2 linked regions of the Coturnix japonica genome follow. The protein of the gene in region 2 interacts with the protein of the main gene of each other region in a biochemical or structural test. Links are inferred from orthologs where the notes say so. Each region holds a gene or a part of one and is shown on either strand. Other genes may lie near its edges.

The links.
Region 1: the proteins of TDRD3 (region 2) and TOP3B form a complex in vitro, tested with the Homo sapiens proteins (2 studies listed by BioGRID and IntAct, with this or other methods). The link is inferred for Coturnix japonica from reciprocal best matches to the Homo sapiens genes TDRD3 and TOP3B.

The regions. Positions count from the first base shown.
Region 1 is NC_029530.1:347,899-353,163, forward strand, and holds part of TOP3B (DNA topoisomerase 3-beta-1), read left to right. Parts: coding exon 1-32; intron 33-318; coding exon 319-515; intron 516-780; coding exon 781-937; intron 938-2,040; coding exon 2,041-2,154; intron 2,155-3,066; coding exon 3,067-3,157; intron 3,158-3,461; coding exon 3,462-3,616; intron 3,617-3,852; coding exon 3,853-3,958; intron 3,959-4,477; coding exon 4,478-4,624; intron 4,625-5,265. UniProt on the Homo sapiens protein: Releases the supercoiling and torsional tension of DNA introduced during the DNA replication and transcription by transiently cleaving and rejoining one strand of the DNA duplex.
Region 2 is NC_029516.1:145,150,654-145,155,918, forward strand, and holds part of TDRD3 (tudor domain-containing protein 3), read right to left. Parts: intron 4,863-5,265; coding exon 4,024-4,862; intron 2,429-4,023; coding exon 2,303-2,428; intron 1-2,302. UniProt on the Homo sapiens protein: Scaffolding protein that specifically recognizes and binds dimethylarginine-containing proteins. Plays a role in the regulation of translation of target mRNAs by binding Arg/Gly-rich motifs (GAR) in dimethylarginine-containing proteins.

The DNA.
Region 1 (5,265 bases), on a different chromosome or scaffold from region 2:
GTGATAAGGAGGGAGAAAACATCTGTTTTGAAGTAAGATTTCTAATACCATATTTCATTCTCTCTTGTTTAAAGAAGCACATTTTAGCAAGTGTTTAAGTTCTTTAAATACCACCACTTCATAACTGTGCCCTGGCAACCTAGGTAGAAACTGATACATATTCATCAGATATTCACAGTGTTACTGTGTAGCAGTGTTACACATCAGCAGATGTTTTGTGGGGAGGGTTTGGTTTGTTTTTTTTCCCTCCAGAGGAAAGAACTGACTTAAGCCCTCAGCTTTCAGTTACTTACAAAATCCTCTTCTGATCCTCCTTAGGTTCTTGATGCTGTTCTTCCTGTTATGAACAAACTTCCTAGCACCGAAAGGACGATTTATAGAGCTAAATTCAGTTCTATTACTGACACAGACATCTGCAATGCCATGAATCATTTGGGAGAACCCAATCGCAATGAAGCCCTTTCAGTGGATGCCCGCCAGGAGCTGGATCTCAGAATTGGCTGCGCGTTTACAAGGTAACAGCACAGATTGCAGATGGTTTTATGAAAGGTTCAGGAATACTGCCCTGTCCATAGAATGTGCCTTAGAGCTGCAGTGGTTAATTCTACTGAGTTACCAAAGCAAACAATTTTATACTGTGAAGTTTTTGGTTTTTTTAAATATACATGAGTGACTTGGCAGATTATTCATACGTATCTGGGAAAGTTCCTGAAAGTTGCTGCTTTGCATGGGAATGAGGATATTCATCTACTTGATGCTTTATTTGATCTTTTCCTTAAGGTTTCAGACTAAGTATTTTCAGGGGAAATACGGAAACTTAGACAGCTCCCTCATCTCCTTTGGGCCATGTCAAACACCAACACTTGGTTTCTGTGTTGAAAGGCACGACAAAATCCAGTCATTCAAGCCTGAGACTTACTGGGTGCTGCAGGCTAAAGTAAGTTATGTGTTATTTGTTTGATTAAAACATGTTTTCCTTCTTATATAGTAAGAAACGGACTTAACACTTTCATTTTGTCCATTCATGAATTTGTAGCTGCTGACAAGAATTCACAGTGCCTACAGTTTACTCGTCTATTTTCATTCAGTTCACATGTGTGTCACCACTCTCTTAATAGATTTGAGGATGTCGGTTCTGTGTTCAAGCGGTTATTGTGTGCTGCTTGTAAAAATTCTTTAGTGGTAACCATCTAAGCTTAGACTGAGCCAGAAAGACTACTTAAAATGGCCTGTTATTGTTCCCTGGGGTCCTTGGACCAACTGTGGTGTTAATTTGAATCCAAGAATTAATTTGTCTGCCAGTGAGCATTGGCATTGCTGAGTATTGGAATTCTGAAGCAAATAAAATGTTCACTGTGTTGGCACTGAGTCTTCTGAATGCTTTGGCAGTTTATGGCAGTTTTATAGCCTTGCTGCTGTTCCAACTTGGAGCGCTAACCAACATGGTTTTACTGTTTGTGATGACAAGGATTGTGTAAATAAATAGGAGATAGATGGTAAAAAGTTGCTATTTTTAGATTTTAAAATTTAAAAAGAAAAAAAAGTTGAAATCCAGTGTCTACTCTTATCTGTTTTCTGCTATATCTCCTTTATATGTGTCATGCTAGGAAGCATTTGGTTCCTGTTTTCAGGGTGTTTCATGCACACACATTGATTAGTTCATATTTACTTTTGTAGGAGGGACTTGGATTGTGGCCCACGTACATTTTATTTTTAATGCAAAGAATTAATGAATTTTGCTAAGTGAAAATGTTAAACTTTGAATTTCGGCCCATTTTGCCTTTGTTATTCCAAGTATTTAAAATAAGCACAGTATTTCAGTTAACTGCAAGAATAATTTCAGTCATTCTCCTTGCCCCAGAACTCAAATTACTCTTTCTCAGAAGCCACTGGAAAATGAGTACAGCTGCATGCTTGGAGCACTTGTAAAACAACTACTACTAAGGTTTACTTGCTGGATTATTGCTGAAGTGCATTCTGCACTTTTAGTAATAGTGCTGGTGGGAATTAATTTGTTGTTGTTTGTTTTTGATCCATCAGGTGAACCCTGAAAAGGAAAGTTCTCTCACTTTGAGTTGGGACAGAGTGCGGGTATTTGATCGTGAGATCGCTCAGATGTTCCTAAATATAACAAAGGCTGCAAAAGAAGCAAAGGTAGAACTATTTACTTAGGTGTTGGTAGAGCTTATTTCACATAAAGGAAATACTACTCAATAGTTCATCTACTGTATATTGGTTTTTTTGAGCCTTCTTTTGGCGAAGAAGGTTAAGAAATATAATCCTTATCTTTTTTTATTTCATTCAACTTTGTGTAAATGATAAGTAAAAGGCAAAAGATTCTTGCTTGTAGTTTGTGTTACATTAGTATGGTCATCTCAACAGAAGCCCATTCTTAATATTGACTTTGGAAATGGTCATCATTCACGATAGGAATTAACAGTCTTCATTGCTGAACTTGCTGAGAAGCACAGTTCAGAACTCCCCAAGCAGACCTCTTGTTTCCCACAGGACACTGCATAGATCGAAATCTATTTACTTATAGAACAACATTCCTGCAGTTAAGTTTTTAACTTTGTACGGTACAGTCCTTATAGCCAACTAACCTGCTGTTCTGTTCAATGCTTGTCTGACACTGTGTTGGGATTTAAGTGTTTACAGCTACCAACGTTCAGAGGCTACACGGTGTTTTAAAAAGTTGAGATCCTTATATCTAGGACCGTTACTTGGGTTGAGCACTACTCCCTTGTAGCACTGATGTATGTGCTGCAGAGCTAAATGGGAAGTGAAGGTAGCAGTAAGCTACATCCCTTCATGTCCAGTGGTAGGTCTGATCTAGTCCATAATGTGAAGGGACCCTGGGGCTATTCCTTCAGCATTTGGTAAAGCTGTTTCCCATCAGATTTCCACCAGATCTGACGGTTACTTTTCTACGGAAAAATATCAAAACACAGATGTGACGAAAGCAGGTCCTGGTAGGAATACCACATGGTTTTAGTCATAATAGACATTTTACATTTATCAGTTACCAAACTTCAAAACTTTTACTGGAAAAATGCTATTTTCTAGGTAGAATCTGTGAGTAAAAAAGAGAAGGTGAAGCAGAGACCACTGGCTCTGAACACGGTAGAAATGCTACGAGTGGCCAGTGCTGCTTTAGGTACGTGTAAAAGTTTAGATTTTCACACTGATTTAGAGCAAAATACTTTGGATTCTCAGCTGAAATAATCAAGCCCATATGTAATATTTTAATAAGTCTCCCTACAGTGTATCACTTTTGGGAAGCAAGTTTAGAAAGCATGTCAAAAGTACTGGGTCAGATCAAGGTGGCAAAAGTCTTATAGAAAGGACAAGTTGTAATTTGTAATTAGCTTAAATGTTTTGACAAGGTGTGCTTTAAGACTCAGCAACCAAAGGCATCTACAGATTGCTGTATGATTTTGTTCTCTCCTGTGCCATCCCAGGAATGGGTCCGCAACACGCCATGCAAATAGCAGAGCGTCTTTATACACAGGGTTATATTAGCTACCCTCGAACAGAAACTACCCATTATCCAGAAAACTTTGACTTGAAAGGATGCTTGAGACAACAAGCTAATAATCCTTACTGGGCAGAAACGGTGAGTAAATCAAAACCTGTACTGTTCTACAGGTGGTTCTCTAGTCTGTGTTTTTAGAACATCTTACCTGGTATGTCTTGATCTGTAGGTCTCTGCAAACAACAAGTATCTGTAATTGCTTTTACTTACAGATATTGTAGTTATGGATTTGATCTTAAAAAAAAAAACAACTTCTAACCTGATAGTAGAGACCTGCTATCCACTTCAACCCGTTTTCTCTCTTTTCCTTGACCCAGGTAAAAGCATTGCTATCAGAAGGCATCAATCGTCCAAGGAAAGGCCACGATGCAGGTGACCATCCACCCATCACTCCAATGAAAGCTGCAACAGAAGCAGAATTAGGTACAGACAAACTGAATAGTGTTAGAACACTGTGAGGAAATTGGTTCTCTGATAAAGAAGCATGTTAAGACTTTGAGTAGCCATACAGCTTACTGAATGGCTATGTAAAACTTCTTTGTACACAATAGGATGAAATATGCAAAGCACAAGACTGATACTTAGGAGCTAAGTTTCTGTTTATAGTATTATAACCTCTCTGCTATTTGATTTCCTAGCTATATGTTGTGATTAAGGAAACTGTGTGTAGCTCTTGTCTGTTCTGTGCTAGTTTGTCAGGCAGCCCGATTGATAGCATATTTAAAAAGAAAAAGTTGAAGTTAATGTAGCACAGGATTCTAACAAGTATGATTTTATGGGTAGGAAATTTTGAAGGGGAAGCTGGATGGACTTTTCAATCCTATTTTCTCTTAGGTACCAGTTTTCCCTGTGGTTTCTGTGGAAATCTGATATCTTTTAGCGCAAATTTTATGTAGTGCTGCAGGACTTGATTTGTGGGAGTAAGATATTGTTTATCCTCAGGTGGAGATGGATGGCGGCTGTATGAGTACATCACTAGGCATTTCATTGCCACTGTGAGCGCTGATTGCAAGTACCTACAAACCAACATTTCTGTCAGCATTGGCCCTGAACGTTTTAACTGCGTTGGGAAAGTGGTAACTTCACCAGGTAAAACTAACCAGGGAGTAAGTAGTTAGGCACCGTTTATTATTTTACCCACTCATGCATTAAATAGATATAAAAGTGAAGTTTTGGAGGCAAGTAGAATTTAAGACTTCTTTTTTCCTGGAGCTTATTAAGATGACAAGGACTGAATCTTGGTCTTCGCTTCCTTATTTACGTTATGCTGGAAAAGGATGTACTTCCCATGTAGTGGTCTCAAAGCTTTAATGCCACACTGACCGGTGGAAAGACCAGTCTTTTTTCAGACTGCAGATCCTGTTGTGGTTTATGTTGCACAAAGGCTGATGGTTTTTTCTTATATTTTTCCCTTGAGCCTCAGGAAAAGGACTATAGTACCCTCAGTGAAATGTTCACAGCGGGCTGTCCCAGTCATCTGCTACATTAATACAACTTAGTATTTGCACTTTCTTTTTAAGAGACTCTTCCCATCCACTTGGTAAGACTTCTGGCACTGTGCTTTTGTTTGAGGAAAGCCCTGTTCGGTTGTTTTTTCAGTTTTGTTTTGTTTTTTTCTCCATATATCAGCAGGACTCGATTTATCCACAGAAGTTTTTATGCCGTTGGAGATCCCATCTCTTGATACAGTATTTCAAATATTGTCTGCAGGGAATGGCAAACAGCCTCTC
Region 2 (5,265 bases):
AAAAGAAAGAAAGAAAAAAACTGTGATGCTAAGACTGTTCAGAACTCAGAGACACAGCAAACAGCACCTTAAAGTAAATATTTAACTGATATTAATCAAGATACTAGAATGGATTCAAATATTCCACATAACAGCATAAGTCTTCTCTATCTTAAGCATGTAGCTGTAACCCTTAACCATTTATTATTTTCAGCATGGCTAGATGAAGGCTTCCAACACCTTCATAAGCTCATAAAGCTTTACATCTTCACTTACCCGAAATGAGGGATGGTTATGAGAAGGTCCTAAATTACAGTTTGATTTAAGAGAATTCAATACCTTTAGAAACTCTTATAGCTCTGTGAGCTATAATAAACAACATTATGAAATTTAAGGTATCACCATAAAAAGTAAGATAAAATGTCTGCCAAAATAAATGAGCTACAGATCAAGACCCCCTGCTCTTTTGTTTCCTCAATGCTTTCCCTGTTGGAGGGTCCAAAACAGGTGAGTTGCAACGCCACCACACAACATAACAGGCTGCAGAAGAACTGGAATTATACATACTTTCACTTTTACTTACATACATATAAAATATTTTTATATAAATAATAATTTAAACAAATAAATTATTAAAAATATTATATATAATTCATCTTGCCTTTTTATCTATAAGCAGAAACACAAGTTTCAGGAAGAGAAAATTACACCAGCTCAAGTTCTCAAAGCAAGAGAGAGAATTTTCAGAGAGTTAAAGTAAAATAAATGTCAATACTTGAGATTATCATCAGAAATGATGAAAAAAGTCTAGCAGTGACCTGTGCTGCATTAAGCAAGGTATTACCAGCAGCAAGAAAGTTATCTTTCCCCTTTATTTAGCACTGGCAAGGCCACACCTGGATCACTGCAAACAGTTCTGGGCTCCTCAGTACAAGAGAGACTCCAGCAGCTCAGGACCATGAAGATGATGATGGGACAAGAGCACCTCTCCTGCAAGGAGAAGCTGAGACTGCTGGGCCTGTTCAGCCTCAGTAACAAGAGTCTTGGGGGAAAGCTAATCAGCATATATATACACAGGCTCTTGAAGGTAGGGTGCAATAAGGACAGAGCCAGGCTCTTTTCAGTGATGCCTAGTTCCAGTTCAAGAGGCAATGGGCAGAAACTGAAATGCTTGACTCCCAGTGCACTACCTGATGTTATGATGTGGAATATCAGTAACCAAGAATCATAAAACCATTTCTAGGTTTAACAACCTAGAAATAAGATCAAAATAAGCACAATCATACAGTAAAAAGCGGTTTATCACTGCACCTCAACAAGTGGGATAAAAAGAAAAAAAAAAAAAAAAAAAAGTTAATTTCCTTAGACTGCAATGCTTCAGCTCAGAAGTGCTTCAGAGACCTTTCTAAGTACAAAAAGGCCATCTCAGAGGCCATAAGAACATCTGAGACTTACAAGCAACAACATAAATTAAATGACCACTGGCAGAAAACAGAAGTTGACTATTAACAGCCTCTGCAGCAGTACTGACACGACTAAATGGCCAAGAGGTAAGAAATGAAAAGAAGCACTTTCAGCTTGTCATTAAGGAATCAAAGCACAGATTCATATACTTTTTTGTGCATCTTTCTATCATGAGTAAACAGCAAGGGACTGCAATCCTATTTCTTTTGTTTATGTTTTTGAACTTCTTGTACTTTTTGTACTTCTACTTCCATGACATTCAAAAATAAAGCCCCTTGAAATTAATATACAGTTACTATAAGGCTAATACATTCTAAATGTTGTAAAGCAGACTTCCAGGCATAAACCTCTCCCTTAATATTCACCAAAGAATTAGCTTTAGAAAATAAAATCATGATGCAAAATAAAATGATTCACACAGATGTATTTGTTTAGCCATACATTCACACACAGTATAAGTCCTCAGGATATATAAAGACTGTTTACTAACCTTTACAGAAAAAAATACAACGTATACAAAATAAAACAATAATAATCTATGTTTAATACAGTAAATGAAACTTTTATAAATAATGTATGCATAAAACCATTTAGCTGACAGGTCAATTAAAGTATTCATTTTACAGCAATACAATTTAAATTTCTTATATATAAAGAACACTACATGATAATATACTTAGGAACATTAAGTAGATTCATATAGATAACTAAAAGATTTTGCTTGTGTATTCACTTCTTAACTATTTTTCTACACGTGCAATTATCACTCTTTGCAGGAGTAGGCATTCATTTGCCAAGTTATGTATTTTGTTACAGACTATGTAATTTATATGTTTGTATTCAATTTGTTATCACATACCCAGGTGTCTGCATGAATAGGCCTGATGTTGCTGAGAAGCACCTCTTCATAATTTCCATAGTCACAGAATTTAACAACTGCAGTCATTCCAGAAGAATGGAGAGCTTCAACTTCTGCCCGGTAGAACTTAAAAGAGAAATTTTCAAAGGTCATAAAATACTACCTGATGTGCCACAAACAGCTTGAAAACAACCTCTTCATTTTCACTCTCCTCCCCATTCTTGGTCTTGGTCAGTAAATTTTCAGTAAAATTTGTTGCAGATAATTATCTATTAAACTTTTACATGTCCCATGACTGAAAGATTGTGGCTGCATGTATTTAAAATACTCACTGAAAATATATACTACTTAGGACATTAGGTTGAACATTTAAAAGATCTTTTTTCAAAGACAAATTAATCATCAACACCAATGATGTTGTATATAAGAAATACTAATGCAAGACTTTCTTTTTAATTATTATTACTGTTTAAGTGCCTGGCAGGCACTTGCACACATACAACTATTTTAAGTATATAATAACACATAACTATTTAAGCACGTACTAAAATAAGATCCTTCTAAAATTCTTCCTTTTTTCATCACTTTCTTTTAGTAATTTATGCAAAGAAATCAACTGCTTTTGAATCTATTTTTCTTTCTGAACACATAGAAGTCATTATCATACAGCAAGATTAAAACTCATTGCTGTATTTTATCATTCTATTTTAAAATTATGCTAGATGCAAGCAGCAGCATTTGTTGTAACTGCTAAAAAAACAACCATCATCAAAACACACTGGATACTTCTCAGGCAGCAGTGTCGTATCTGCTTATTTTGCAAGTTTCATGCTTTTCAGAATTTCAACAACACATCTCATAGTGACATAAAGCGCTTCTGAAGACAGGAAATAATTCCTTAATATGCTATTATATTTCAAACAAATCCTTCCGAGATATATATTCATATTAAAGCACCAACTAACTATATGCTACTGCCATCAAAAATTTTGCATGACTTATTTCAGTCAAATAAAAAAGTGACACTGCTGAGCTAACAGTATCTACATCTCTTGTCATAAAAGAAATCTTATTAATTGGAAGAGGAACAATTTAAGCTTTGAAAAATCAGTAAAACAGAACTGTCATGCATCACACTCCATTTGTTCCACAGCTCCTTCAGCTAGGAGACTACTATTGATAATAAAATCCAGTCTTTTTGTAATGACTGAAATAAGAGTGGAATTTGTTTTAAACAGTCCCATCCCTGCAGACACTCCAGTCTTCTCCTGTACTAGTGAAGGCTGCATGATGTCTTATTCTAGTGGAAGTCATTACATATCTGTAGTTACAAACTACTCGGGATAACAGAGCATCCCAGTCTTATTCTTTAGAAAGTAACAAAGGCAACCAGACCCATTTAATTCCTTCAAATTTTAAACACCTACATGAAATATGTCTCAGTTAGGAGCCTAGCTATCCCATATGAGGGAAACAGACACTGTCAAGATGATCTGGGTCACATACTTTCAAGAAATTAATACAATCTACATATCTCCTTTTAAAACAAACAACAACAAACATGCAAAGAAAAAACAAAAAAACATTAGAACAAGAAGCAGGCCACAAAGCACAGTATACACCTATGAACAAAGACCTTTGTCTTTGTGCTGGTGTGCTAAGTCTACATCAAGTATATAAGAAAGCTAATTTGAACTACTCAACGTCTGGCAAACACATACCTTGTTGTCTTCCCAATAAAGAGCAAAACACTCATCCCCAGGTCTCCAGGTTTTTCCGTACTCTGCATGAATCGATGGTTCCATTATTTTCTCTGGTTTGATGGGCCCAGATCTCCTTTTGGGTCCAGTGTTGTAATACAAAATTTTGTCATCATAAGACGGAATCACATTAGGTCCTGGCGATTTGATAGGCCCTACTCGTCTTCCTTTCTGATGATGTTCTGTATCTCCATTCGGAATAGAATTAAAATTATCAGTTCTGCAAGTGTTTTGGTAATCATTATTCACACCAAAATGTTGCTCACTTTTTACCATAAAGGTTTCATTACTTATTGTTCGTGCTTTCCTATCACAAAAGTTTTCAGAATTGTGTATTTGATTTTCCCTTTTCCCACGTCTCTGGTTATTGTTGTCTGTAGTATCTTGAGCAGCAGAGTTCTCCTTGAATTCTGTGAAAGACACCCCTTTTCCTATTCTGTTTTGCATATTGTTATCCCTTTTTTTAAAGGAAATATCACTCTGGTGAGCAGCTACGGGATAACCCAAATCCTTTGGCCTATCATTTCTAGGATAATGTCTGTCACTTTTGATTTTCTCATCTGTCCAATGTTCTGAAGAGTTGTGCCTTTCAGGACCTCTGTTTCTTGGTAATCCCCCACTTTCCAAAGCCTGCCTTGAATTCTGAATATCTCTTTGAAAACGAGGGGGCTTCTCATTCCTTGGTTGTCTCATGTCATTGCGAGAAATATGCCTTGAATGATTCTCTTTGATGCCATTCTGTTCTGTATTCATAACTTTGGGCTGTACTTGATATGGTGGTTGAAATTGCAATTTTGGTTCTATGAAGAGAAAAGAATAATGATTATATATATAAATATATATAGTACAGAAATAGTGGATCAGATACTAAATGATAAAAGTGACAATATTATTCAGAAAAACAAGTAGCATTTACACGTGAGATAAATAGATGGAATTGTCCGTTGAAGTTTAGCAGATATTTGAACTGCAATTACCGATTAATAGAAAACACACATATGTCTTGGCGGTACTTAAATTAGTCATTAGTAAATGAGTAACAATTGTTTAAGAAAGACGAATTCTGATGTGAAGAAACAAAGAGGCAGGAAAATGAGGAGAAAAAAGAAATAGCTGTCATCTGAAAATTTTAATTCAGTAAAAATAAACTGCTAACAGCTGTTAAGCATTAACATAAAGGCAAGAAACAAAATTGATAGAATG